Anolis sagrei: one gene and its partners. The protein of the gene in region 4 purifies or fractionates together with the protein of the main gene of each other region. This does not show direct contact. Links are inferred from orthologs where the notes say so. Each region holds a gene or a part of one and is shown on either strand. Other genes may lie near its edges. The genes, in order: THOC6, THOC1, ALYREF and NCBP3.

What was found.
Region 1: the proteins of NCBP3 (region 4) and THOC6 purify together in Homo sapiens (co-immunoprecipitation; 3 studies listed by BioGRID and IntAct, with this or other methods). This does not show direct contact. The link is inferred for Anolis sagrei from reciprocal best matches to the Homo sapiens genes NCBP3 and THOC6.
Region 2: the proteins of NCBP3 (region 4) and THOC1 purify together in Homo sapiens (co-immunoprecipitation; 4 studies listed by BioGRID and IntAct, with this or other methods). This does not show direct contact. The link is inferred for Anolis sagrei from reciprocal best matches to the Homo sapiens genes NCBP3 and THOC1.
Region 3: the proteins of NCBP3 (region 4) and ALYREF purify together in Homo sapiens (affinity purification with mass spectrometry; 4 studies listed by BioGRID and IntAct, with this or other methods). This does not show direct contact. The link is inferred for Anolis sagrei from reciprocal best matches to the Homo sapiens genes NCBP3 and ALYREF.

Annotation. Positions count from the first base shown.
Region 1 is NC_090026.1:16,484,296-16,491,775, reverse strand, and holds the start of THOC6 (THO complex subunit 6 homolog), read right to left. Parts: upstream 3,005-7,480; 5' UTR 2,946-3,004; coding exon 2,907-2,945; intron 2,811-2,906; exon of another isoform or gene 2,675-2,810; intron 523-2,674; coding exon 407-522; intron 308-406; coding exon 243-307; intron 1-242. Other genes in the region: HCFC1R1 (host cell factor C1 regulator 1), read left to right, coding at 7,145-7,338. UniProt on the Homo sapiens protein: Component of the THO subcomplex of the TREX complex which is thought to couple mRNA transcription, processing and nuclear export, and which specifically associates with spliced mRNA and not with unspliced pre-mRNA.
Region 2 is NC_090024.1:60,858,371-60,866,095, forward strand, and holds the start of THOC1 (THO complex subunit 1), read right to left. Parts: upstream 3,005-7,725; 5' UTR 2,994-3,004; coding exon 2,862-2,993; intron 1-2,861. UniProt on the Homo sapiens protein: Component of the THO subcomplex of the TREX complex which is thought to couple mRNA transcription, processing and nuclear export, and which specifically associates with spliced mRNA and not with unspliced pre-mRNA.
Region 3 is NC_090022.1:113,659,383-113,666,664, reverse strand, and holds the start of ALYREF (THO complex subunit 4), read left to right. Parts: upstream 1-4,273; 5' UTR 4,274-4,283; coding exon 4,284-4,529; intron 4,530-5,023; coding exon 5,024-5,155; intron 5,156-6,684; coding exon 6,685-6,832; intron 6,833-7,156; coding exon 7,157-7,220; intron 7,221-7,282. Other genes in the region: ANAPC11 (anaphase-promoting complex subunit 11), read right to left, coding at 1-111, 206-314. UniProt on the Homo sapiens protein: Functions as an mRNA export adapter; component of the transcription/export (TREX) complex which is thought to couple mRNA transcription, processing and nuclear export, and specifically associates with spliced mRNA and not with unspliced pre-mRNA.
Region 4 is NC_090031.1:29,857,014-29,864,315, forward strand, and holds the start of NCBP3 (nuclear cap-binding protein subunit 3), read left to right. Parts: upstream 1-4,291; 5' UTR 4,292-4,330; coding exon 4,331-4,603; intron 4,604-7,302. UniProt on the Homo sapiens protein: Associates with NCBP1/CBP80 to form an alternative cap-binding complex (CBC) which plays a key role in mRNA export. NCBP3 serves as adapter protein linking the capped RNAs (m7GpppG-capped RNA) to NCBP1/CBP80.

The DNA of each region.
Region 1 (7,480 bases), on a different chromosome or scaffold from region 4:
TATCATATCCACAAGCCTTGTATCTAAATTCAAACCACATTCCACTGACTAAACGAACTGCAGCCTTCCAGGTGTTACTGTATTACAACTGCCATTAGCTCTAGTTATGATGATTATGATGAGGAACATAGGAGTTGTAGTCCAGTATCTGGAGAGCCACATAAAATGACATGGTGGGTCAGATCTGAACAGTCACAAACATGACAGGAATTGCTTGGATTCACCGGACCATAATGATCTACCTGTAAAGGAAACCACTGGCTTCTTGCTCTCTTCCTTGGCCTCTGAACTCAGTGCTGCTGAAAGGCTGTAAAGAGGAGGGAAAGACCGTGAAATGTAACTTGTAATCATTTCAAATTAATGTCTCACCCAAAAACACCCTTTGTGTTAAGAAAGCACTAGCTACCTGAATATGGCAATCTCTCCATAATTGTTCCCAGCCGCTAAATACTTTCCACAAGGCGAGACGCTCTGGGAGTAGACGGTCATGTGCAGCAGCTCAAGGGATCGCTGGATATTCATCTGGCAAAAGGTGGGATGAGAAGTCAGGTCAGTAGTACCACCCTAAATATGCTAGTCTTCACTGGTTTGGCGAAGTGAACAAGATCAAGCCTGGAGATCTCTAGTGTTTGGAAACAATCCGGCCTGTAATTCTGGAGAGTGGCTGTAAATTAGTATGGACAATATTGGGATAAATGGATCAATGAAGAGTTTCCTATCTTCTTGAATTTATGAAGGAAGGATGCTTAAAACTGTTACTGAGTTTTTGTTGTTCATTCGTTCAGACACTTCAGACTCTTCGTGACCTCATAGACCAGCCCACGTCAGAGCTCCCTGTCGGCCGTCACCACCCCCAGCTCCTTCAGAGTCGAGCCAGTCACTTCAAGGATATCATCAATCCATCTTGCCCTTGGTCGGCCCCTCCTCCTTTTTCCTTCCTTTTTCCCCAGCATCATTGTCTTCTCTAAGCTTTCCTGTCTTCTCATTACGTGTCCAAAATACTTCATCTTTGCCTCTAATATCCTTCCCTCCAATAAGCTTTTCTTCCTGAAATATGGACTGGTTGGATCTTCTCATGGTCCAAGGCACTCTCAGAATTTTCCTCCAACACCACAGTTCAAAAGCATCTATCTTTCTTCGCTCAACCTTCCTTATGGTCCAGCTCTCACATCTGTAGGTTACAACGGGGAATCCCATTGCTTTAACATTGCTAATGTGATGTCTCTACTCTTCACTATTTTATTGAGATTGGTCATTGCTCTCCTCCCAAGAAGTAAGCATCTTCTGATTTCCAGTCTGCAGTCTGCATCTGCAGTAATCTTTGCACCTAGAAACACCAACTCTGTCACGGCCTCCACATTTTCCCCTTCTATATGCCAGTTATCAATCAGTCTGGTTGCCATAATCTTGGGGTTTTTTTTAATGTTTAACTGCAACTTAGCTTTAGCACTTTCTTCTTTCACCTTGATTAGAAAGCACCTGGGGAAAGTGGAAGGCAAAAGGAAGAGGGGCCGACCAAGGGCAAGATGGATGGATGGCATCCTTGAAGTGACTGGACTGACCTTGAGGGAGCTGGGGGTGGTAACGGCCGACAAGGAGCTCTGGCGTGGGCTGGTCCATGAGGTCACGAAGACTCGGAGACGACTGAACGAATGAACAACAACAACAAGAAAGCACCTCAGCTCCTCCTCGCTTTTGCCCATCAAAGTGGTATCATCTGCATATTTAAGGTTGCTAATGTTTCTTCCAGCTATTTTAACCCTGACCTTGCATTCATCAAGCCCTGCATGATGTGTTCTGCATACAAGTTGAATAGGTTGGGTGAGAGTATACAACCCTGCCGTACGCCTTTCCCAATCTTGAACCAGTCTGTTGTTCCATGGTCAGTTCTTACTGTTGTTACTTGGTCCTTATACAGATTCCTCAGGAGAGAGATAAGGTGATTTGGTATCCCCATACCACCAAGAACTTGCCACAAATTATTAGGATCCACACAGACAAAGGCTTTAGAATAGTTACTGAGTCTACCTACTATTAAAATACCTTTGCTTATGTGTCGTAAGATGCTTTAAGTCAGATATAGGCAAACAGCCCTTCAGGTGTTTTGGACTTCAACTCCCACCATTCCTAACAGCCTCAGGCCCTTTCCTTTTCCCCCTCAGCCGCTTAAGCGGCTGAGGGGGAAAAGGAAGGGGCCTGAGGCTGTTAGGAATGGTGGGAGTTGGAGTCCAAAACATCTGGAGGGCCCAAGTTTGCCCATGCCTTCTTTAAGTGAATTGTTCCAATTGGTTTTTTGGACTTCAATTCCCATCCATCTTGGCCAACAGTCAGGAATCCTGGGAGCAAGAAGTCCAAAATACCTGGAGGAACAAAATGAGACACTGTTGCTTTAAGTGAATTCCTGTCCAAAGATACTAATAATTTCAAAAATTAAGAAACCATATCCATTTATTCACGCCTTCCCCGCAAACCAAAAGAACCACAGAATTGATTTGTTCTCCAAGAAGATTCAGAACCAATTCCAGAAAGCATTCTTCACTTTCTATCTCTATGGGCAAGTAAGGAAAGAGAAGCTTCCACGAGCGCAAGGCATCACGGGAGTCGTAGTCTTCCCAGAGCCATATCCTACCAGAGGGCGGGGAAGAAGCGACAGTTGGGACTACATTTCCCAAGCTACCTCGCGGTGGAGTTACATTCCGTCACGTGACTGAAAAAAGGCATTTTGTTGCTACTTTCCTACGCCGCTTCGTCCCCGGCTTCAAAGAGAGGGCTCCTCCAACCAGAAGAGAGTCGTAAATCGTATTTGCACGGTAAGAATGAGAAAAGCCTTGCCTTATCATACAGCGCATGCGCACAAGAGACCTGTAGGCCCACATCCCCCTTCCTAGGCTAGGCCCTCTACTAACCGTTGGTGGCGCCGCGTTTCCCTCCTCTGCTTGACGCATGCGCAGAGAAGCAACGCGCTTCAATGGCAGGGAAAGCCACGCCCCTTCTGAGGATAGACACGCCCACCGTGAGGGGAATGTATGAAGTCGGTGTTGCTAGGGCTCTCTTAAAATGGCCGCCTGGAGCGCAAAGCACTCTGGGATCTCTATTGCTTGCCTTTCTGTGGGCGTGGGCCTGGATTAGTAGGCCCAAGTCAGGCCAGGGCAGAGAGGTCTTGTCCTGAATTGCCCTCAAAAGGCTTGCCTCCTAATGTGACCTTTTTAGACCCTGAACCTTGGAAAGAAAGACATGACAAGGATACATTCATAATAGATCAAGGAAGGCTATGAGAAAGGTTGCATTACGGGAACTGTGCTGGTACGGCTGTAAAGATAGTCCCCTGACATTAAGTCCAGTCATGTCTGACTCTGGGGGGTGGTGCTCATCTCCATTTCAAAGCCGAAGAGCCAGCGTTGTCCGTAGACACCTCCAAGGTCATGTGGCCGGCATGACTGCATGGAGCGCCGTTACCTTCCCGCCGGAGCGGTACTTATTGATCTACTCACATTTGCATGTTTTCGAACTGCTAGGTTGGCAGAAGCTAGGGCTGACAGCAGAAGCTCACGCCGCTCCCCGGAATCGAACCTGAGACCTTTTGATCAACAAGCTCAGCAGCTCAGTGCTTTAACCCACTGCGCCACCGGGGGCTCCAATAGGGCCAATGACCCATCAATGATTATGTTGTTTAGTTCCGCCCCTTTTTCTGGGTTAAGGAGGGGGAAAGGGGGGCCTGTAGTCAGGCCTGTAGCGAGGGGGTGGTTTTAGGGGTTCAACCCCCCCCCCCCCCTGAAATGTTTCAGATTTTTTAAAAAACCTGGTTTACTCATGAATTTTAACTGGTTAACCAAATCCCCATGCTAAGTCTATGAGATGCAAAAAATTACAGAGTCCCTCCAGAACTGCAAGCACTATCTCAAGCAAATATTGACAATTTATCCACACTGTCATTACTTGCAGCAATAGCCGATGTAGTAAAGCAACCAAGTTGGGTGTGTTTGTGTTGAATTCTCTCATTAAGGAGGCCAGACTTGGTGGAGGTGGTTGACAGGGGCGGAGCTGCAGGTTATTGAAGGCTGCTCTGCCCTCTGCTGTGCTCTTTGCTTCAGCGTGGGCTAGGAGGCAGGTTTCACCCCCCCCCCCCCCCGCAAAATTTTCAACCCCTCCCGAATTTTGTTTCTGGCTACGGCCCTGCCTGTAGTTCAGTTTACACAGAGAAGCCTTTCATACAGGATGTGAATCAGTTCCACCTGTAGAAAGCTTCGTCTTTTACAGCTTTGCTGGGGGATCCAGTCCCACAGCTCTACCGAGAACATCAAGCAAAAAGTGGGTGCTAGAAACAATATCATACGAAAGCTGACTGGCACAACCTGGGGATCACAACCAGATACAGTGAAGACATCTGCCCTTGCGCTGTGCTACTCTGCTGCTGAGTATGGATGCCCAGTGTGGAACACATCTCACCACTAAAACAGTGGATGTGGCTCTTAATGAGACATGCCGCTTTATCACAGGGTGTCTGTACCCTACACCACTGGAGAAATTACACTGCTTAGCCGGTATTGCACCACCTGACATCCGCCGGGAAGTAGCAGCCAATAGTGAAAGGACCAAGGCAGTGACATCTCCAGCTCACCCCCTGTTTGGGTATCAGCCAGCATGTCAATGACTTAAATCTAGAAATAGTTTTCTAAGATCTACAGAGACACTCGCTGGAACACCTCAGCCCTGACACGACAAATAAATACCGAGAACTACAGCATAGCCTTTGTTGGGGAATTTAGTTCCACAACTCTACAGCCAGCTCTTTGCTGGAGAAATACAGCTCCACGGTTTTTCAGCCAGCCTTCACTGGGAAACAAAGGACTTCTTTCCTCTTGAAAATCTACACAGAGACTTTGGCCTGGTAAGGACCTCTTGCGGCAGCCATAATGCAAATTGGAACCGAGTATAGGGGCCCCACGCCAGCAAAGCCTAAATATAGATTGCTCAAGAAGGGGTCAAGGATTTCCCTTATAGAAGGAAGAAACAGTTTATGAAGAAAGTTGCCTGTCCCTTGTGGACAAGATTTAAGCAAGCCACCAGTTGATTCAAAGCCTTGAAGTATTTGTTTGATTTATTAAAGATTTAAGTAACAATAAAAACTTTGTTGAGCTTTCTAAGTCTTTAAAATAACTTTGTGTGGAGAAATCCAAACGGCCTCTCAGCCGAGGCACCCCCGGCGTCCCGTTGGGCATTCAGAAAACACGTCCTGTCTACAGACTCTTTCGCAGGCCCAGCGCGTGACAGCATAGGAACAGTTTTTGTGGACCTTATGGCAGCCCATGTTATGGTGCAACATGAAACCAAACCGTAGCTAATAACAACAGTCCACTGTCCATATATTATTCTTTTCCTCTTCTAATCATTGCAGTTTATCATTGTTTCAGTGGGCTAGGTGTTAGGTGTCCTCCCTTCCTTTTCCTCTTCTCCAAACACACCATTTATGCCATAACATTAGTATTCCTTGAAGCAAAACAGGCATTGCATCCGAACATTAAAAAAACATACAGCACTAAAATAGCCCACTCAGTCCATTGCAAGCATCAACTGTTGTTTGGATCAAGTGTGACCTATTCTGGTATTATGCCTTAATGTTTTACAACCATCAGCAGTGAAGGATACGGTAACAGTCCAGCCAGAAAAGTTATGTACTTGCAAGTGTTACTTCACTTGTTTTCAACTGAAGTAAGACAACATCAAGGCTCCTTCTACACTGCCATATAATCCAGATTATCAAAGCAAATACTCCACATTATCTGCTTTGAACTGGATTATATTAGTCCACACCTTCCGTATAATATAAGTCGCCCTAAAGGGCTGAGAACGGCGGTCAACAAATGCAGCTAATAAATAAATAAATAAATAAATAATCCAATTCAAATTATATAATCTGGATTTTATATGGTAGTGTAGAAGGGAGCCGAGTCTCTTTTTAGAGAGAAAAAATTGGGTATTAATAATTATTATAATAATGACTATACTTGGTGTGTATGGATGCAAGTTCTTAGGCTCCTTCTACTTTCATATAAAATCCATATATATATATGCTTTGAACTGGATTATATGGAAGTGTGAATGCAACCCAGTTCAAACCAGATAATGTGGATTATCTGCTTTGATCATCTGGACTATATGGCCATGTAAAAGGGATCTTACATAAACATAAGGTCAAGTCTAGGGATGGGAAGCATTGGCTCTCCAGATGTTGAACTCCAATTCCCATTAGCCTCACCTAGCAGGGCCAGTGGTCAAATATGATGGGGAGAGTTCAACAAGATATAAAAGGACTTCCAGTGTTTCTCATTTTGGCCAAACCTTTGTGGTTGAAAATGAGGTTTTGAATTGGAGATGCTGGGCCATGAATTTAATACATTTCTGAGTCTATGTGAAATAATCAAGTCAATTTAAGTTATTCCTTCTTTTCACACCCAAAAACTTCAGTAAAGACTAGCATTACCATAAATCTCCTAAAGTGCACAGCTCTATAGGATCACCATGTATTCTATATTCAATAGAAGACTGGTTCAACCAGAGAGGTGGGCTGTGGTGGAGCACTTGGTGGGCCAACCTGGACATGGCGTGTTATTTAGGAGCACAGAAATGCTGGACCACTTTGGCGGCTGCCATGTCGAACGGCACAGGGAGACCATTGAAGTCCACATGCATGTGGACAGTTTGAGCAGAGGGGAGGAGGCCATGGGGAGGAGCAAAATCTGGGTACCAGTATTAAGAGACCCTAGGATTGGGACAGTGAATGAAGAGGAGCTCTCAAAAAAGGGGGAGTTCCAGATGGGAGGCAGACAAGGCTAGTTAATCACTTCCCAACAGGGGATTCCCTCAGCCAGGAAGCAGCCAGGCTTTGAAGCTGCAAAGCTATTCAATGAAAGAGCTATAGATCCAGGCAGGAGGCCGACTGCGTTGGATAATACAGAACATTGGATGAGTGAAGGTTGGATAAGTGAGACTCTGTATGCACACCCAAGATTAGGTAAGATGAATGACAAAGAATTAATTATGGCCAGCATTGCCAAATTTGACAATTTGAGGGCATGTTTATCATACCTCTGTAGGAGAAGAGAAACTTATTTTAACCATTTCCTCTCTACCTTTAACTTCACAGATGGATCCAACACCTGGTGACCCATCGGCCGCATTGCTTCCATCCAGCCCACCCCAGCGCTGCTCCCTTTTATCTGGGAAGAGGGGCTGGAGCCATGGCCGTGCCTCCAGCTGGCAACGAGACATGACACGCAAAGGGACATGGTTCAGGACAAACCAAGGAGTGGTGAACTTCAGTGGTACACAACGATCCCGGTATGTGTATGACATGAAGCTATTTCCGGGATGGATCTATCTTATTGGATGGATTAGGAAAAGAATGGCTTCTGAATAGTGCTCGCTCTCCTGGTATTTATGAACCTATATAGCTATATGAGAGCTTTGCAAAGATTTCATG
Region 2 (7,725 bases), on a different chromosome or scaffold from region 4:
TAAAATATACACAAAATATTTACATGTCAACTTTCTTTTATGACAGAAGATGGAACAGATGTCACTCTCAGGCATACACATGATCCAGACCTGCTTTACTCTGGCACTGATGCACCAAGTGTCTTTGAGTAATGCCATGTGTCTGAAAGGCTTATACTCCTATATTCACTTAGCAATGCATCAAATTAAATTCAGTTTTCCTCCAAAATAATCTGTTTAAACATATGTTGTCTTGATAAATAAATAACACTCTCAAACAATGCACTGAAAATCTAGGCACTCTTTGGGCACGTTAAGGAAATCCTACATTAATGGATACATGACAATTCTACATAGCATAAAACAGTCTAAATGAGAAAGGAAGTTATATTGATTCAAGATGTTCCTGAACTGCATCTGCCACAATCCCTTCCTACTAGCTAGGACTACTGATAGTTACTTGGAGTTACAGCCAGTCTATGTTTAGAGGGCTGAAAAAGTCTTCTACCTAACTTAAGCCAAAATTAGTTGAACCAGATATACATTAGGCTTGTGCACATTAAGCTTGCTTAATTAAGCTCCCTGCTGTCCTTCCCTCGGCAGGCTAAAACCTTTCATTCAGGCAGCCTCTTAAAGATGGCTGTGTTTAAGATCAATTCAGGGTGTTGCTGTGGTTTTTAACTTTGTTTTAATGGTTTTTAATTGAGAATTTTTGAATACTGTTTATATTTATTCCTATGTATAAATATAACCTTTACCTTACTTCGATAAGTAAGGTAAAGGTTAAGGTTTACCCCGATATTAAGTCCAGTCGCATCCTACTCTGGGGCTTGGTGCTCATCTCCATTTCTAAGCTGAAGAGCTGGCATTGTACGAGACATCTCCAAGGTCATGTGACTGGCATGACTTCATGGAGCACCGTTACCTTTCCGCCGGAGCGGCACTTATTTATCTACTCACATTTGCATGTTTTCAAACTGCTAGGTTGGCAGAAGCTAAGGCTAACAGCAGGAGGTAATCCCGTTTCCCGGATTCGAACCGGCAACCTTTCGATAAGCAAATTCAGCAGCTCAGGGGTTTAAATCATTGAGCCACCGGAGACTCCTTAATGTCTGTATATTTTAAATGGTTATGCTAATACTTGTATGTTAAACTGCTTTGAGTCCCCTTCAGGGGAGATAAATCAGGGTATAAATAATAAATAAATAAATTCCCACTGGAATCAATAGGAGTAAATCTTTCCAAAGCACACTTTGGGGTTTGGCCCGATTTCTGTTACTTTGAAGACGAGGGTGGAAAAATTAGCCAGACAAGGCACATCTATATAAACAAAAATGTCATGTTCGTTTGTTGGATTAACAGAACTCAAAAACCAGTGGACCAATTGACACCAAATTTGGACAGCATACACCTAACAACCCAATGTATGTCCTTCACTCAAACATTTTTGGTTTTGTCATTTGGGAGTTGTAGTTGCTGGGATTTATAGTTCACCTACAATCAAAGAGCATTCTGGACTCCACCAATTATGGCATTGAATCAAACGTGGCATACAGGACTCCCATGACCAATAGAAAACACTAGAAGGGTTTGGTGGGCATTGACCTTGAGTTTGGGAGTTGTAGTTCACCTACATCCAGAGAGCACTGTGGACTCAAACAGTGATGGATCTGGACCAAACTTGGCACAAATATTCCATATGCCCAAATATTAACACAGATGGAGTTTGGGGAAAATAGACCTTGCCATTTGGGAGTTGTAGTTACTGGGATTTATAGTTCACCTACAATCAAAGACCGTTCTGAAACCCACCAACGGCATAATTGGGGCAAACTTCCCACACAGAACTCACATAACCAACAGAAAATACTCAAGGCCATCCAGTCCAACTCCCTTCACCAGGGCAAGAAAATGTAATCAAAGCCCTCCTGACAAAGAGCCATCCAGCCATAGATATATATATATAGATAGATAGATAGATAGATATGATTCACACACAGAGAGATAGAGTCTCATAGATTTGAAAGGGAACTCTAAAGAAGGGCAATTATATGTTGCATATTCCAGGGTAGGCAAACCAGACAATCTCTACATCAACACTGACAAAGAAACAACAAGAAATACTGTTTACCCACAAGCATAAAGAAATTACACAGATTAGAAACCATTACTTTATTTTCCAGATCACCAGACTGGGCCACAGCAACGCCTGGCAGGGGACAGCTAGTATATTATATATGAACACATCTAAAATACACACTATGAATGCTGCAGCCTAAATTAGGCCCCAAATCAAATCTGTAATAAAGCAATAATTAAACATTAAAAATAGCATACCATTGAGCAGGTATGGGCCAACTTGGGCCCTCCAGGTGTTTTGGACTTCAACTCCCAGCATACCTAACAGCCTCAGGCCCCTTCCTTTTCCCCCTCAGCCGCTTAAGCGGCTGAGGGGGAAAAGGAAAGGGCATGAGGCTGTTAGGAATGGTGAGAGTTGAAGTCCAAAACACCTGGAGGGCCCAAGTTGGCCCATGCCTGGCCTAGAGTAAGCTGGGCCTAACACAGCAAAGATTTGTTTGTGTGTGATGTTTGAAAGGCAGTGGACATATGGAACAAAACAAAAGAGGCACATATCCAAATCTAATAAGAGCCCAAGGGAGGAAAACAGACAAAGTTAAAACAGTATTTTCGAAAGGTTTGGTCTTCCAGAAGTTTTGGACTTCAACTCCCAGGATTCCCGACTCTGGGCCAAGCTAGCTGGGGCTTCTGGGAGTTGAAGTCCCAAAGAGAAGGCGTGGGAAAGGCTGGGAAGCAACGAAGGGAGGAATATAAACGGCTTCTGCCTTCCTCTCCGAAGTAACAACACCTCACAAGCCGCTCACCATGAAACGCAGCCGAGCCTCAGGCAAGCTGAAGAGCAGCGGCGGCGAGGGAGACATGGTTGCCGCTCCTGACAGAAACACGGCGAGGTCTGCTGACGTCATAACCCCGCGCCAACGCTCCGCCTCGTCCATGCCTGCATTGCTCACAAGAGAAGAAGGAAACAAGGGGGAGAGCGAGTTCGAAAGGGCGGGGCCTCTGTCTCAGCATGGGCGGGGCATAGAGAGGCGAAGTCACATGACTCTCTCTCCGCGCTTTCACTTCACCGTTTTGCCGCTAGGGGCAGTGTATTGCATTCTTGGATAACAATAGCCTGATCCTGTCTAAACCAACGTGAAGGAGAAAAAAGATAGGAAGGAAACATTTTGCAGCCTGTCCATTCTCATCAAAGTGTGCATCTACACTGCAGAATTAATGCACTTTTAACTGCTATGGCTCAGTGCTAAGGAATCCTGGAAGTTGTAGTTTTTCAAGTGAGGATTATATATCTGTGGAATGATGTCAGGATGGGAAAAAGAACTTTTCTCTGCTTCAGGCAAGTGTGAATTTCGCAAAAGATTAGCATTGAACGGCCTTGCAGTTTCAAAGCCTGGCTGCTTCCTGTCTGGGGGAATCCTTTGTTGGGAGGTATTTTGCTGACCCTGATAGATTCTTGTCTGGAATTCCTCTGTTTTTTTGAGTGTGGTTCTTTATTTACTGTCCTGATTTTGGAGTTTTGTTTAATACTGGTAGCCATATTTTGTTTATTTTCATGGTTTCCTCCTTTCTGTTGAAATTGCCCACATGCTTGTGGATTTCAGTGGCTTCTCTGTGTAGTCTGACATGACAGTTGTTGGAGTGGTCCAGCATTCCTGTGTTCTCAAATAAAATGCTGTGCCCAGGTTGGTTCATCAGGTGCTCTGCTATGGCAGACTTCTCTGCTTTATTTATTTATTTAGAGCTTTTATAACCCGGTCTTCTCGACCTCCGAAGAGGGACTCAGGCCGGCTAACAGCAGAAAATTCATACACACATAGAATAAACATAATAGCACCATAATACATTAATACAAAATACATTATAATACAGATCATACAATGGTTGAGTTAGTCTGCAGTGCCTTTCATGTTCCTTGATTCGTGTTTGGGTGCTGCATTTTTTGGTCCCTATGTAGACTTATCCACAGCTGCATGGTATATGGTAGACTCCTCTTGTCCTTTGGTAAATGTAGCATTTGTTGGATTTTCTTAGTGGGTCTGTAGATAGTTTGTAGGGTGTGTTACTTCATAGGCAGTGGTTTTTTGTTTTTGTTTTTTTTTTTTGTCGTGTCAGGAGTGACTCCTGGTGTGAGAGAATTGGCTGTCTGCAAGGACGTTGCCCAGAGGACGCCTGGATGATTTGATGTTTTTATCATCTTTATGGGAGGCTTCTCTCATGTCCCCGCATGAGGAGCTGGAGCTGATAGAGGGAGCTCATCCGCCTCTCCCCGGATTTGAATCTGCGACCTGTCGGTCTTCAGTCCTGCCGGCACAGGGGTTTAACCCACAGCGCCACCAGGGGCTCCTATAGGCAGTGGTGTATTTGATGTATTTGAACCACAGACTAGCTCCTTGTACCACTCAGATGGATATTTAATTTTAAAATATCTGGTTTAGTTTCTAGTGAACGGGAAAGTAAACAATTATTTTTAAAATTGTAAGTACTATACTGCTTAACACTTTGGAGCCTAGAAACTATAACTGTGATTAATTGTTTTTTTCAAAGTTATAGTCCAAGCTCAGGTTCATATGAGCCCTTAATAGTAAATATGGCAAAACACTGCTTCCTTACCTCATAACTGTGTGTGTGTGTATGTGTTTGTATACATGTGGAGATATATAACTCTCCTTCCAACTTTACCTTCCAAAATACTTTCTTATCTAGTAGGTAAATTGGCCTCTCCTTCTTACTGTCACAAACAAAAGCTGCATTGGATAGAAAACATTAGTGTTAAGAATAAATTCTACAGATTGTAACTAGAAGATAAGGAAGATACATTTTATTATTTTGATGAATTCCATGCTTGCCATCCTGGTTAGGAGATTCCAAGAGTTATATTTCCCTAAAGTAACTTTCCCAATATCAAGTCTCGGTACTGCTGGAAAATCAGACTACTGCAAAAACGGTTAGAAAAACACAAAGGTTAACCTTTTTGTCTCCATCCATCGAAGGATAGAATAGCTCCATTATTATAAAAGGATAAAATTCGTTAGTTGCTACAGACTGCAACTATAGCACAACTTGTATAATAATTCTTTAGCAAATGATTGTGTTTGATCCTCTCTTTTTTGCTTGTTCATTTATTTGGAATGACCAAATGTTCAATTTCACAATAAAGCAATGTTGAGTCTGCAGTGGTATGATTCTGATAGAGTGGATTGATGCATGTGCTTGCACAGCAGATTTTAAAAGAGGGAAATCAGGTAGGGAAAAGGGTTCACCTGAGTTCATTGATCATTTCAAGAAGAAAAAGAAACAATGAAGGTTTTTGGGTAAGAAGAGGACACAATTGCTAATATGAGCTGGGTTGGTCCATATGTTAGGGAAAACTACCCTAAAATAAGTAGTGGAGCATCCAAAAACAAACAGGATACAAAAGTTGAGCATCAGCTCACTAGCAAGCAGAGCGTGAAGTGTCGTGTGATGTGGTTGTAAAAAAATTAGAGCTTAGGAGGCAAACATGCAGAGTCCAATCTTTAAAAAAAATCACAAAAGTTTTATTTACAATAATAAATAACTAATTAGATTTCTTCATGGTAAAGAACTGGGTCTGAGCTATTTTAACACCCATCTCTTCTAAGGTTTCAAGAGAGGGAAAAACTCAGTCACTACATCTTTCTTGACACACAAGCAGAGAAAGATCTCAAAGCACACAGCACATACGGGACTTTCCACATATACTAGGTTTCTACTTCCATCCATTTGTTCTCTATTACTACTTTTTAAAGAAATATGCAAGTGATTGAATGAAATTGTAATCAAACAATACAATGTTTCCAGAGCTGTGGTGTTAAATAACGTATTTTTACTCATACACATGTTATTGTATTGTAACTTATTCTCAGCATGTTTTCCCGCCTGTAGCTCTTTATTTAGCTTTGGAGAGATTTTGATGTAGTAACTTAATAACATCTACATGATTTCCCTGCTATGCCTACAGGAAAAAAATGCCACAATGTTGTGAAGTTAAAGCATTGGTGTAGACAAGGTCTCAATTCCAATATAGTGCATAACTCTCAGAGAGAAGAAGTGGTATTTCTTTTCAAGGAGCTGCCATACCTAGTTGTCACCCTGATTGATTCTATACAAAACTCTGAATAGGAAATTGTTCTTTTACTAAAACCATTGCATAGCTCGATGTTTTCATTTCCTCAACTCTCTGGAGACTGGACTCCTCTCCTACCACAAGCTTTAAAACAATACATTTCTGTAAGGCTATTCTGCAGCCTTTCTTTAATAAATCACGTAGAGTACTTCTTGGTTGAAAACCAAATCAAATCAACCAACTACTCTTTATACCAGATTGCTTTTATGGTCTTTGGGGAAAGCTAAATGAAATGTTTCTTGTTTGTGTTGACATTGCTATCTTCAGTGACACATGAACAAATTGTAAAGGCCACTGTTTCATAACAGACCTCTTTTTACTTATAGTTCCCACTACTGTAAAAAAAAAAAAGAGTAGCAATGTTTTGGGTTCTTGTGGTTGAAGAAATCTATACACACAAAGGGGATGGGTATCTTTTTGCCTGGTTACAATTTGGTGCACTTTGGTGACTAAAGAGATATAACTATGGCTGAATTTACACATGGGCTATATTCCTAGCTTGAATGCAAAGTATCCTGCACCAGCTTGACTCCCCTTAGTGTCATATGCAACTGTTTTAATCCAAACTCAGTTGTAAAAAGCATTGACCCCCAAATACCAAAAGGGTGTTAATGAAAAGTTCAAAAGAGAGGCAGACAATAGCAGGATAGTACAGAGAAGCCGAATGTCCCATTTCAGGTCATAAGTCAAGTACCAGAGTTCAAAGTACAAGGTTGAAATTAGAATTTGTAAACTGAGGTTCAAGGATAAGTCCGGAGTTTAGGAATACAAGAAAGCAACACTCCATTGTCATAGCTTCTAGAACTGATGTTGCAGCCAGTAACAAGGTGCCACCTGTGAAGTCCTTAAATCCGAAGTTCTCGGAGGTTACCTGTTGCTGGCTCATTTCTCAACTAGTCTCCAAAACCTGTGCAGCTGAGGCCCTCTTTTTTCCAGGTCCATGAAAGCTGGAACAGTTCCTCTTCCTCAGCCTTCTCCAAGGAACGCCCTTGCACTTGTTCTGCAGGCAGTAACTCCTTCAATGGGTGTTGCTTGAAAGCTTGGTTGAGGAGTTGATGGGCATGGCTAGACTCAAGTTCAAGCACAGAGACTTCAACCAGCCTCTGCTCATCCATGCTTCCCAAACTGGCCATGACACCAGTTTTGCATTGGATCACATTCTTTCCTCAGTAGAAATCAATTTGGATCAAAAGAGGTGTTTCCTGTCTTTCCTGAATTCTTGTTGTATTGGATCACTGTTGATCTTTACCAGGGGTCCTCAAACTTTATTTAACCAAGGGCTGGTTCACTGTTCCTCGGGGGGGGGGGGGGGAGAGACTATAGTTTGAAAGAAAAAAAAACTGAACAAATTTCTATGCACAGTGCACATATTTTTAGTGCAAAAAACCCCCCAAACTAAAATGAAAGAACAATATAATTGTTCTGTCGCACGCTGGGCCTGTAACAGCTGTCTTTTCTATAGGACGTATACTTTAAGCCCAGCGGGAAGCCAGGGCGCCTCAAAGAGAGGTTCTCAGGGATTT
Region 3 (7,282 bases), on a different chromosome or scaffold from region 4:
GACAGTGCTGCTGGACTTGCTGGGAGTTAAGCCACTTGAGAATGCAGTGCATGTGGAAGCAGTGGGAACACTGACCCCACACCAGCGGGCAGTCATCTCCAGGCACCTTACCTGCAAAACACAAGAGTTACTAGGGCAAAGCTGGGAAAAGACAGTGTATATCGATCAAGAAAAATGTCAGTGGGCAGATAGTCCCAATACTCACAATCTGGGCAGCAGCCATTGAAGGCCATCCGGCAAATGCCACAATTCTCATCATTGGCAACCCAGAGCCAAGAGGCAACTCCATGCCAGCTCTTGATTTTCACTTTCATTGTGTTCAACTAAATACCACACTTAGATCAACCTAGTTTAGCACCTGAAGGGAGGAGAGAAAAAACCAATGGAAATCACTGTTTCTAAAATGGGAATCAGAGTTTCTAGAAATCAAAGTCTCTGTTTCCTAGCAAGATTGGAGCTGGAATGCAATTTAAAAACTATTTAACCTATTTAACCTTTCCACCAGGGTAGCAATAGATGGCATTATAAATTATATTAATATTCGTCTTACAATGTATATGCAGTCCAGGAGGTATGTTAAGCTTGTGCCTTCTTTAGGGATGATGCAGGACAGACTACAACCAAATTCCAGATTAGGACAGGATGGAAGCAGAGATTTTTGAGACATTAAAGCAAAGTAATATATATTAATTCTTACCTATGATTACATTGTTTTTATAGTATAACCATTACAGCAGATGAATACCAAGGTCCTAATGCCCAGCATAACTATACAAAAGCATTGCAGAAGAACAGCAGCATTAAGACATTGCAAAGCTGGGTACATTATTAATATTGAACTCAACAAAATTTGAAGTAGTTGGGTAGGAATCATATCCCATGTGGGTAGAATTCAAAGGCATGACTGCATTAGTCTAGAATACCAGTATGCAAAGGGATCTTGCAGTACCTTAGAGGCAAAATGAGACAACAAAACTGATAACATAACCTTTCCAAGATCAAGTCTATTTTGTCAGTAGCTCGCCACAGAGTTTGTGGGCATGGTGCTAAAATGACCAGTTCAGTGTTAATGATGTCACTGAGGAACAAAGGGAGTCGAGAAGATGTTGCCTAAAGGCAAGATAAGTAGATAAGCATATGAATGGTGGAGGGAGTTCTTGGACTGTCCTGTACCTGTTTTGCATTTCTATGGCTATTCACACATTCTGTGTATAAAGATCTCTTTACCCTAGGGATAAATAGGAATGTCTGGTGCTAACCCACCTGATAAACATGTATGTACTGAAACACAATCATTTTTTTTATACTATAATTAACTATTTGATATTGCTGTTTACAATATAAATAAACTGACACAGAACTTCTAGGACCATAAACTTTTATCACATAGATTTTATGAATTTTTCCCAAGCACTTCAGTCCATGCATCTGAGAAATCGGACGAATTATGAAAGTTTAAGCTACTAGCGTCATTCTTTCAGTCTCTAAGTGCCACAAGACCCCTTTGCATACTGTTAAGACTGCAATAGTTCCTATCGCAGCCCTTGAAAGGAAGAAAAGCAAAAGATATCCATATTTTGCAGGATATTCTCAACTGAGTCTTATTTAATTTATATGTTGCCTTTCTTATAAATAAATAAATAAATAAACCAATAATAAAACATTAAAACAATTTAAACTATCATGTTAAAGCAGTACATAATTATTGAAAGCACATATCAAAAATAAAGCATTCTTCCCCGTGGGCAATTACATATTATCAGATTAATATTTTAAACACTGTATTTTCAGTTACCAGCTCCCCGTATCTTGCCATCTTCTTTTAAACAGCTTGTAAGAAGTAAACCCTAGGTAGCTGAAGAACTAGGGACTTCAGCACACTAGAGCATCTATCAACCTTAAATCCAGTTTCTGCCTCCTGCAGAATTCTGGGTTTGTAGTTTAGAGAGTGGCCTTTAAAAAGCTCATCCAGAGAGGTCTTGGAACTCACTAAACTACAAACCCCAGAATTTTGCAGGAGGGAACAACTGGATTTAAAGTGGATAGATGCTCTAGTGTACGCTTGGGCAAACTTCAGCCCTCCAGGTGTTCTGGACTCCAACTCCCACAATTCCTAACAGCTTACTAGCTGTTCGGACTTGTGGGAGTTAGAGTCCAAAACACCTGGAGCACCCAAGTTTGCCCATGTTTGCTCTATTGTGATGAAGTAGCTGCTTTTGTAACAGTGACCTAAAATTAATGGTTGGCTCAAACTATAGCAGGCTCTTTGCACTATCTGTGTGTCTGTATACACACAACACTTCAAGCTGATCATTGACTGATTGCGTTATTGTAGGTTTTTTGGGCTATATGGCCATGTTCTAGAGGCATTCTCTCCTGACATTTCGCCTGCATCTATGGCAAGCATCCTTGTGAGGTCCTCACAACCTCTGAGGATGCTTGCCATAGGCGAAACATCAGGAAAGATGCCTCTAGAACAGGGATCCTCAAACTTTTTAAACAGAGGGCCAGGTCACAGTCCCTAAAACTGTTGGAGGGCTGGATTATAATTTGAAAATAACATGAATTCCTATGCATGCTGCACATATCTTATTTGTAGTGCAAAAAACACTTTAAAGCAATACAATATTTAAAATGAAGAACAATTTTAACAAATGTAAACTTATTAGTATTTCAATGGGAAGTGTGGGCCTGCTTTTGGCTGAGATAGGATTGCTGTTGTTATAGCCTAAAGCAAGGGTCCTCAAACTAAGGCCCGAGGGCCGGATGCGGCCCTCCAAGGTCATTTACCCGGCCCTCGCTCAGGGTCAACCTAAGTCTGAAATGACTTGAAAGCACACAACAACAATCCTATGTCATCACCCAAAAGGAGGCCCACACTTCCCATTGGAATACTATTAAGTTTATATTTGTTAAAATTGGTTTTTGTTTTAATTATTGTATTGTTTTAAAGTGGTTTTTGCACTACAAATAAGATATGTGCAGTGTGCATAGGAATTCATTCATATATTTTTTTCAAATTATAATCGGGCCCTCCAACAGTTTGACGGACTGTGACCTGGCCCTCTTTTTAAAAAGTTTGAGGACCCCTAGCCTAAAGCATCTGATATTTGGTGGCTGTCTCCCATCTAGGAGCTATGCAGTTTTCAAGATCAGGCAGACCTTGGCACCTTTACAACTGTTAGGCGCACACTGACTGCTGCGTAGTCAATTGGCATGAATCTATAAAAGTAAAGGTTTCCCTTGACATTAAGCCTAGTTGTGTCCGACTCTGGGGGTTGGTGCTCATCTCCATTTCTAAGTTGAAGAGCCAGTGTTGTCCATAGATACCTCCAAGGTCATGTGGCCAGCATGACTCCATGGAGTGCTGTTACCTTCCTGCCGGAGCTGTACCTATTGATCTACCCACATTTGCATGTTTTCAAACTGCTAGGTTGGCAGGAGCTGGACTTACAGCGGGAGCTCACCCTGCTCCCCAGATTCGAACAGCCAATATTTAGGTTAGCAAGTTCAGCAGCTCAGCGGTTTAACCGGCTGCACCACCAGGGGCCCTGGCACCAATGTAATGGCTCTGCTCTCGTTGGAACTAGCAGCTTGGCCTGGGCAATGCTTCAGCGTTGGGCTATTATTACGTGCGGATCTCTTTACCAAAGAGCAGCCGCCAAACAACAGCAGCAGCCACAAGACTGTAGTCTGAGGTCTCCGTCTACACTGGCCATTTATTGCAGTTCCAAAGCGATTTTGCTGTGCAGTCAGATGGCTACATGAGAAATCCTGGAGCCAGTTTGAGGCCCAGAAAGTGCTGAAAGCCCTGAGGCACATTAAGGGCTTTGCATTCAAGGGAGTTTGTCGCCTGGTTGCCGAACTGTATGAAATGTTTAGTGCAGACGGGGCTTTGGGGGGAACAGCCCCCTCCCCTGCCCCGAGGCAGCATCCTCCTCCTCCTCCAACCTTCCCGCCTCCCTTCCCCTTACCGGAAGTCCCGCCCCCAAGGGCTCTCCCATAGTTCCTCGCGCACCCAAGCCCTTAAAACCGAGCGCGAGAGGCCCCTTGGCGCACTTCTTTCAGCGGAGGAGCCCGGCACGAGCGCAAGCGCGCCCACCCACCGCGCTCTTCCCTTCCTTTCTTTCCCGCCTCCTTCTCCTTCTTCTTCCTCCTCAGCCAGGCTCCTTCTTTTTCTCCTTCGCCGCCCTTCCCTCTGTATCCCCGCCTCATCCGTTTCCGGTCCCCTCGCGCAGCGCGGCCGGAAGCGTAGGCCCCAGGAGCCGGAGGGAGCCGCCATCATGGGCGACAAAATGGACATGTCTCTGGACGATATTATCAAGCTCAACCGGAGCCAGCGAGGCGGAGGCGGGCGCGCCGGGCGAGGCCGGGGGCGAGGGGCCGCGGGGCGAGGCGGCGGAGGAGGCGGCGGCGGCGCGGGGCGAGGAGGCGGAGGCGCGGGGCGGGCAGGAGGCGGAGGCCCCATCCGGAACAGAGCCGCCTTGTCCCGGGGAGGCGGCAGGAACAGGCCGGCGCCCTACAGCCGGGTACGTTTCCGCCAGGCGTCTCCTGGGGGTCTGCCTTCGGGCTCATCTGGACTCTCACTGCATTCGCAACTCGTGATAGCACTTGGGCCTGCACCTGGGGGAGAAAACGCAGGGAAGCCTAGGCTTATACTATACGGCAGTGGTTCTCAACCTGTGGGTCCCCAGATGTTTTGGCCTTCAATTCCCAGAAATCCTAACAGCTGGTAAACTGGCTTGGATTTCTGGGAGTTGTAGGCCAAAACACCCGGGGACCCACAGGTTGAGAACCACTGCTCTAGGGGCTGTAGTCTGAAAATAAGGGGACATGAGACCTTAAGACAAGTGGTTTGCCACTTGTCGGTCCCCAGTATTTTGGCCTACAAGTCCCAGAAAGTTTACCAGCTGTTAGGATTTCTGGGAGTTGAAGGCCAAAACATCTGGGAAGCCACAGGTTGAGAACCAATGCCTTAAGATATGCTGATCAGTTACTGACTTGGGGTGCCCTTTCTTTCCAGCCCAAACAACTTCCAGAAAAGTGGCAACATGATCTCTTCGAAAGTGGCTTTGGTCCTGGCGCTGGTGTGGAGACAGGTGGAAAACTTCTGGTCTCTAATCTAGATTTTGGCGTGTCAGATGCGGACATACAGGTAGGTTTTCCCTTCATCTCTAATAATAGGTGGCCCAGTGTTGGAATTTGTTCTAACTCAGGCATGAGCAAACTTCATCCCTCCAGGTGTTTTGGACTCCAATTCCTAACAGCTGGTAGGCTGTTAGGAATTGTGGGAGTTGGAGTCCAAAACACCCGGAGGGCCGAAGTTTGCTCATGCCTGAGCTAGCTGATAAGGTTGTGTAATGGAGACCGCCTTTATTTTGGGCATCTTATTGCAAATTTCATCTGTGTGGACATGGGTGTTTTTTTATGATTGTGACAAATGTCTTAATGTTTGGAGAGAAGCAGAAATGTCTCTCTGTGAAATTATCAGCATTAATATTTATTTCCTTTGATAGTTTGGGATTGTTAGCAAACACATTGATATTCATAGGCTGTCTTGTTTTGTGTAGAGTACATATATGAACATTTTCTAAACAATTTCATAAGCTTAGTACTATAGTAGATATATCTGTTCTACACACTTCTTTTTGTAATCCTTGGGATATGTGGATCTCTATTGGATTATTTTTTTCTGTGCAGGGAAGTCTGAACCTAAGGCTAACCTATACAAAGACAGAAAATTATTAATTAAAAAATCATTAAAATTTTATTTCTAGTCTGTCCTATCTCCCTGAAAGGACTCAGGGCGATTTCTAATACAAAAGCAAATATTCAATGCCATATGCAACCATAAAAACACAGCACCATAAAATAACAATGAAACATGGCTAAAATGCATGCATAAAATAAACTCTATGAGGAGGGTAAACAATCAGGCTTTTTTGCAGGGAGAAAATTTTATCCTGTTGAACCACATTTCCCAGTACTGTTTATCCTTTGAAATAAAGCCAATGTTGTATCAGACAATAGGCAAACAAGAATATATTGTGGTTTGGTTGTAGGGTACAATGGCTTTTATGACTTCAGATGAACATATGCTCACACACTGGATTCATGAAGGCCAGACTTTTTGCCAATCTGCTCTTAAAACAGCATAAGGCAAAAGACACTTGCATGATTTGAGATTCAAACATGGCAATGGTTTATATAGTGTTATGCAAGATCACTTAACTTGTTTAGGAGTATGTAGCTTAAGCAGGGTAAGCCGCTTCAAATGCCCAAGAAGCAGTTCTCCACCACAGTGGGCTCCACTACAGAAAGTACAGCAGGGAACTTGTTTTCCATAATTATTCTTCTGATTTTATTTGTAGTGGGGCTATGAGGAATGCAACCACTCCACTTTATTTTGTGGCTGAGGCACCTTGGTGGAGGTCTCATCAACATTGCCTCCTCAGGAGATCTTCTGCCCTACATTTCTTGCATTTTTCCTTGAGTTCTGGGGTTAATTTAAGTAGAAAATGAGGCAAAGTTAATGCAAGATCTGATTTGTAGTTGTAGTAAAATGGCAAATGTGAGAGTGAAAGAGTTTACTGCTTTAATGGGTAATCTTTTTAGAAAGACCTGAATACTTTGCCAAATCCTCCTGGTTGAGATAACTTCCTACTTTTACCATATCATTTTCAGGAACTTTTTGCAGAATTTGGTACATTGAAGAAGGCAGCAGTACACTATGACCGATCTGGGCGTAGTCTAGGTACTGCAGATGTTCATTTTGAGAGGAAGGCAGATGCTCTGAAGGCTATGAAACAGTACAATGGAGTTCCCCTGGATGGTACGTGCTTAACTGTCTATCTTGATATTTACACAGTGGAATAAGAGATAAGCTAGCCTTGAATTTAAGTATTTCTCTGGTAGCTACAAATAACAAGGAAATGTGTTTGGAGTGTGTATGTATTATTCTATGTAAGAGGGTGGCAAAGGAAGAATGGAGAATCTGTTTTTTTTGGCATAGAAACCAAGAAGACAGTTTAAAATGGTATGGTCCTGAGAAGCTTCCAACCCTTGGTTCTTGAAAGAAGTATTTTAGCATTATTTTACAGACTAGTAAGGTTTTTGGACTAATAACCCTTGTGATGCATATCCTTTTTATTTTTAGGACGTCCCATGAATATCCAACTGGTTACATCACAAATAGATACACAGAGGAGACCAATACAGAGGTAGGAGATTTAATCTTTATTGATGATGATGATAATAATAATAAGTTTGTTCTTTTATACCG
Region 4 (7,302 bases):
ACTCTCTGCCCCAGAGTGTGGTGGAGGCTCCTTCTTTGGAGGTTTTTAAACAGAGGCTGGGTGGCCATCTGTCAGGGGTGGTTTGAATGCAATTTTCCTGCTTCTTGGCAGAATGGGGTTGGACTGGATGGCACACGAGTTCTCTTCCAAATCTATCTAGATCTAGGGAAGTCATGCTACCCTTCTATTCCGCTTTGGTTAGACCACACCTGGAATATTGTGTCCAATTCTGGGCACCACAATTCAAGAGAGATATTGACAAGCTGGAATGTGTCCAGAGGAGGGCGACTCAAATGATCAAGGGTCTGGAGAACAAGACCTATGAAGAGCGGCTTAAAGAGCTGGGCATGTTTAGCCTGAAGAAGAGAAGGCTAAGAGGAGATATGATAGCCATGTATAAATATGTGAGAGGAAGCCACACTGAGGAGGGAGCAAGCTTGTTTTCTGCTGCCCTGTCCATCTCTGTGTACGAACCCACACAATCTCTTCGAACATCTGGAGAGGCCCTGCTCATGCTCCCACCACCATCACAAGGGCGATTGGTGGGGACGAGGGCCTTCTCAGTGGTGGCCCCTTGACTCTGGAACTCACTCCCCAAGGACATTAGGCATGCCCCAACTCTTGCAGTCTTTAGAAGGAGCCTGAAAACGTGGGTGTTTCAGTGTGCCTTTCCAGAATAAGGAAACTCCCGGCAATATGTCCCTTAGGACGCGGAACAATGGCTTCAAACTACAAGAGAGGAGATTCCATCTGAACATGAGGAAGAACTTCCTGACTGTGAGAGCCGTTCAGCAGTGGAACTCTCTGCCCCGGAGTGTGGTGGAGGCTCCTTCTTTGGAAGCTTTTAAACAGAGGCTGGATGGCCATCTGTCAGGGGTGATTTGAATGCAATATTCCTGCTTCTTGGCAGAATGGGGTTGGACTGGATGGCCCATGAGGTCTCTTCCAACTCTTTGATTCTATGATCTTATGACAATTTTCTATAATAGATGTGGCTTTAGTAAGTTTGGTTTTCTTTTTCCAGATTTGCTCCCATTCTCTGAGCCATATGGTCTTGCCTATGTCTCTCGCCCATTTGTTCATACTTTCTTTTATCAATTCCTTTTCGTTGTTCCATTCTAATAGGCTTCTATATAGTGTCGTTATCACTTTTTTTTCTTTTTTCATTATCTTATCCCAAGTGGTCTCAGTCTCGGAGAATCCTTTTTTGCAATCCTCCTTATAACGTTCTTTTGCTTGCAGATCGTGGAACCAACACAGTTCTTTGTCTATTTCTCGAAGTTCATCCATTGATTTGAAGCACCATTGGGTGTTGTCTCTTATTAGAAGTTGGTTATCATTGAGCCATTTTTCCCTCGGTAATTCCTTCTTATGGAAGGCCTCCGATGGTGACACCCATCTGGGCGTTTTAGAGTAGAAGTAACCTTTATACTTTTTCCATACTTTTAAGAGTATTAAAATTATGTATGTTTCATGTACATGGCCTTGATCCCACTTTTGTATTGCCATAGTCAACTTCTCATATTCACTCTTTTTTTTTCTTTCTTTTTTTCCTTTCTCTTTTTTTAAAAAATATGTTTATTTAGAATATAGTGCTCTAAGGAGAGCTGATAGGAGAGAGGTGTATTAGTGCAATAAGACAATACGAACGAACATACAAACGGACAAACAAACATACCACTGAATACAATACGACTACATGTCAATAACAACACTTACCAACACCAACAATTATTCCCCCAGTGAATTTTAAAATACTTCCAGGTTTTGCTGGTCCGGCACCGGGGAATAAACTATACTTTAATCCCCTTTTCTTTTCTGTTGCCTAAATTGGTATTAGTGTAATCGCCAGTTTCCTTTTGCTATACCTTCAAGTTTCCTTAATGCATAGTATTAATATTACCTCATTATATAGCCCTTTTATATATCCTAAAAAGCCCTCCCAATTGGTCCTAGGGGGTTTTGCTATGCTCTGTGACATTTTTTGGGTGAGGATGTCCATATTCATGATGTCCCATATTTTCAGTAACCATTGCTCTACAGTCGGTGTCTCCTTGGATTTCCATATTCTAGCTACCACTATTCTCGCCGCAGTGGTGAAGTAAAAAAAAAGTTTTTCTGAGTTCTTGTCCTTGATGGAGTCGATGATTCCCAGAAACATTACCTCCGGTTTAAGTTCTATTTTTTCCTTTAGTATGATCTCGGTTATTTTTTTAACTTCACGCCAGAAGGACTTTACCTTTTTACATTTCCACCACATGTGGATATAGTTACCCTTATGTTTTTCGCATCTCCAACAGACATCTCTAATTCTACCTCTGCTAAACTTAGATATTTTCTCGGGCGTGAGGTACCATCTATAAAAAGACTTAAACCAATTCTCTTTCATCTCCGCTGCGTAAGTATACTTTATTTTATTGCACCACACTTCCTCCCATTCTGTCATATGTATTGATCTTCCTACATCTCTTGACCATTGTATCATGACTCCTTTCACCTATTCCGTCTCCGTGGACCATATTAGCAATTGTTGGTATACTTTTTTACTTGCTTTCTTTTCTGATTTCATTATCTTGTCCCAGAATGTTTCTTGGGTTTGAAATCCTCTCTTCGCATCTATCTTGAAGTTTTCTGATATTTGGTGGTATTGAAACCAAGAAATGGATTGATCTAGTTGTTTGAGTTCTTCCTGGGATTTCAGCTTGATCTCATGTGCATTTATCTTTAATAACTGGGCATACGTTAGCCAGCGGTCTCTAGGTAATTCTCTCAAGTGGAGTGCTTCGTTAGGTGCAAACCAAAGGGGGGTCTTGCTATACAGCCTGTCTTTGTATCTGTTCCATGTTTGCAGGATGGCAGCTCTGGTTGGGTGATTCTTAAACTGTTTTTCTTTCTCCGCCTTCCACAAGTATCCGTGCCAGCCTTGTGACAGATCAAATCCATCTAAGCTCAGTATTTTCCTTTTGCTCAGCGTCATCCAATCTCTCGCCCATCGCAGGACTGCTGCCTCGTAGTAGAGTTGCATGTCGGGAAGGGCTAAGCCCCCTCTTTTCTTGTCATCGGTCAGATAAATCATAACTGATCAGATCAGTTATGATTTATTCTCTGTTTTTTACCCCTCCAAATAAATTTAGAGATCTCTTTTTGCCATTTACCAATTAATGTTTTAGATTTTAGGACGGGTAGCATCTGGAATAAGAATAAGACGTCCGAAAGGATGTTCATTTTAACGGAGGAGATCCTGCCTAACAGAGAGAGGTTTAAGCAGTTCCATGAGTTCATTTTCCTCTTTATTTCTTTCCATTTCTTTTCGTAGTTGTTCTTGATCAAGTGTGCGTTATTCTCTGCTATGGTTATCCCTAGATATTTAACTTCCTTTACTATTTTGATTCCGGATGTTTCCTGTAGTTTTATTTTCTCTTCATTCTTTATATTTTTGGTGATTATTTTTGTCTTGTTTTTGTTTATTCTAAATCCCGAGACTTCTCCAAAATTTCCTATTTCTGATAGCCACATGTTTATGTTCTCTAGTGGGTCTTCCACAAAGCAAACCAGGTCATCTGCGAAAGCTCTAGTTTTATAGATGTGATTCTTGACCTTAAGCCCTTTCAATTCCTTGTTTGTGAATATTTTCTGCAGAAGAACTTCCAATGCTAGAATGAAGAGTATTGGGGAAAGGGGACACCCCTGCCTGGTCCCTTTCTGGATTACTATGTGTTCTGATTGCTGGCCATTAATTGTTATTGTTGCCAGTTGGTGGGTATAGATAGCTCTGATTGCATTTAGATATTGATGACCTATATCCATTTCTCTTAGTAGATCTATTGTGAAGTTCCAGTTGACATTGTCTTCTCATATTCACTCTTGAATTCAGCCATGCTTTCTTTCTTAGCCTCCTTTTGTTCTACCTCAGCTGTTTCCATAACTTCTTCCTTTTCTACTTTTGGCTGTGACTCTCTAACTGTCACTACAGCTGTCCCTTCAGCTTCAACTCTTTGATTCTATGATTCTATGAATCATAGAATCAAAGCTCCCTGCTTGAGTGGTGATGGCACGATCATCAGCATAGATGAAACTCTCTGTGGCCTCCAGTTTGCAGATGGAAGCCCCGCCCACGATGGGGAGGAGTCTAGCGAGGCCCCGCCTCCTTTTAAATCCCCCGCTGTTCGGCTTTCCTTGGTGTCCCGCCTCCAATTGCCATATGGAAACCCTGCCTTGTCCATGCTTGCCCGCTAGATGGCGCTGCGAAGCTCAGAAGGCCAGTGGAGTTCTCTCTGCTCTTCCGGCGCTCTGCTTCCGGTCTGTGCTTCCTTCCTGTCTTCCTTGGGCAATGGCGGCGGTTCGGGGCCTCCGCGTCTCCCTCAAAGGGCCGGCCTCGTCGGAGCCGGAGCCCATGGAAGTGGAGGAGGGCGAGCTGCTCTTGCCGCCGCCCAAGGAGAGGGAGGAGGAGGAGGAGCCCGAGGAAGAAGAAGAAGAAGAAGGCGAGGAGGAGGAAGAAGAGGAGGAAGAGCAGAAGCCTCTTCCTCCGCCGCCATTGGAAGAGGAAGAGGAGGAGGAAGGCGGAGGAGGAGAGGCCTCGGGGAGCCTGCGGAGGGCGCTGCCGGTAAAAGAGGCCTCTGGGCGTGTGCAGAGTGTGCCTAGAAGGAGCCAGAGCCGGGCGGGCATCTGTCGGGAGGGCTTTGATTGTGTTATACGCTGGGGTCCGATGGGATGGCCTTCCTGGGTCCCTCACGACTCTAGGATTATAGTATTATTATTCATAATGACAACAACAACAAAATAATAATAGGGCAGGAGTTGGGTTGGAAGGTCTGGAGGCATCTCTTCAAACTCTAGGATTGTATGAATAGGAACTCGATGGCCATCTGCAGGGAAGGTTTTGATCTCACTGTAGGATTTTATAATACACTTCTTTCTCTCGTGTGTGTGTGTGTGTGTATATATATATATATAATATATATGTGAACAACACACACACACACACACACACACACATATATATATATATGTCTCACTAGTCACAATAATATAATAGAGTATCTCTTGTAGGATTCCAGGATTGTATAAACAGAGACTGAATGGCCATCTGTCAGGAAGGTTTTGATCCCACTTCAGTATTTGACGCCGGCCCATAATGACAACAAAATAATAATAGGGCAGGAGTTGGATTGCAAGGTCTGGAGGCATCTCTTCCCACTCTAGGATTGTAGGAACAGAGGCTGGATGGCCATCTGTCGGGAAGGTTTTGATCTCGCTGTACGATTTTATAATACACTTCTCTCTCACACATATATATGTATATCGCTAGTCACAACAACAGAATAATAGAGCTTCTCTTGTAGGATTCTAGGATTGTATAAACAGAGGCTGGATGGCCATCTGTCGGGAAGGTTTTGATCCCACTCTAGGATTTTATAATACACTTCTCTCTCATATATATATGCCACTAGTCACAACAACAAAATAATAGAGCATCTCTTCTAGGATTGTATGAACAGAGTCTGAATGGCCATCTGTCGGGAAGGTTTTAATCTTGCTCAGGGATTTTATAATACACTTCTATCTATCTATCTATCTATCTATCATTAGTCACAACAATAAAATAATAGAGCATCTCTTCTAGGATTTTAGGGTTGTATGAACAGCCTGGATGGCCATCTGTCGGGAAGGTTTTGATCTCGCTCTAGGATTTTATAATACACTTCTTTCTCTCATATATATATATCACTAGTCACAACAACAAAATAATAGAGCATCTCTTCTAGGATTGTATGAACAGAGTCTGAATGGCCATCTGTCGGGAAGGTTTTAATTCCTATTTAGGATTTTATAATACACTTCTCTCTAGTCACAACAAAATAATAATATGGCAAGAGTTGGATTGGATGGTCTTGAGGTATCTCTTCCTTCTCTAGGATTGTATGAATAGAGGCTGGATGGCCATCTGTCAGGAAGGTTTTGATCCCACTCCAGGATTTCATAATACACTTCTCTCTAGTCACAACAAAATAATATAGGGCAAGAGTTGGATTGGAAGGTCTTGAGGCATCTCTTCCCGCTCTAGGATTGTATAAATATGAACTAGATGCCCATCTGCAGGGAAGGTTTTGATCTCGCTGTAGGATTTTATAATACCCTTCTCTCTCTCTCTCTCTCTCTCTCACACACACACACATATATATCACTAGTCACAACAACAAAATAATAGAGCATCTGTCCCACTCTAGGATTTTATAATACACTTCTCTCTAGTCACAACAAAATAATAATATGGCAAGAGTTGGATTGGAAGGTCTTGAGGCATCTCTTCCCACTCTAGCATTCTAGGATTTATATGAAGAGAGGCTGGAAGGCCATCTGTCGGGAAGGTTTTGATCTGGCTCTAGGGTTTTATAATACATGTCTCTCTGGTCACAACAAAATAATAATAATAGGGCAGGAGTTAGATTGGAAGGTCTTGAGGCATCTCTTCAAACTCTAGGATTGTATGAATAGGAACTAGATGGCCATCTGCTGGGAAGGTTTTAATCTTGCTCTGGGATTTTATAATACACTCCCCCCCCCTCTCTCTATATATATATATCATTAGTCACAACAATAAAATAATAGAGCATCTCTTCTAGGATTTTAGGGTTGTATGAACAGCCTGGGTGGCCATCTGTCGGGAAGGTTTTGATCCCACTCTAGGATTTTATGATACACTTATCTCTCGATATATATACACTAGTCACAACGACAAAATAATAAAAATAGGGCAGGAGTTGCATTGGAAGGTCTTGAGGCATCTCTTCCCGTTCTAGGATTGTATGAATAGAGTGGATGGCCATCTGTCGGGAAGGTTTTGATCCCACTCTAGGATTTTATGATACACTTATCTCTCGATATATATACACTAGTCACAACGACAAAATAATAAAAATAGGGCAGGAGTTGCATTGGAAGGTCTTGAGGCATCTCTTCCCGTTCTAGGATTGTATGAATAGAGTGGATGGCCATCTGTCGGGAAGGTTTTGATCTCGCTCTAGGATTTTATAATACACTTCTCTCTCATATATATATATATATAGATATATAGATATATATATAGATATACACATACATACACCTATAGAGAGAGAGAGAGAGAGAGAGCTCCTGGTGGTGCAGCAGGTTAAACCGCTGAGCTGCTAAACTTGCTGATCGAAAGGCCACAGTTTTGAATCTGGGGAGCTGGGTGAGCTCTCGCTGTCAGCCCCAGCTACTGCCAACCTAGCAGTTCGAAAGCATGCAGATGTGAGTAGATGAATAGGTACTGCTCCGGCG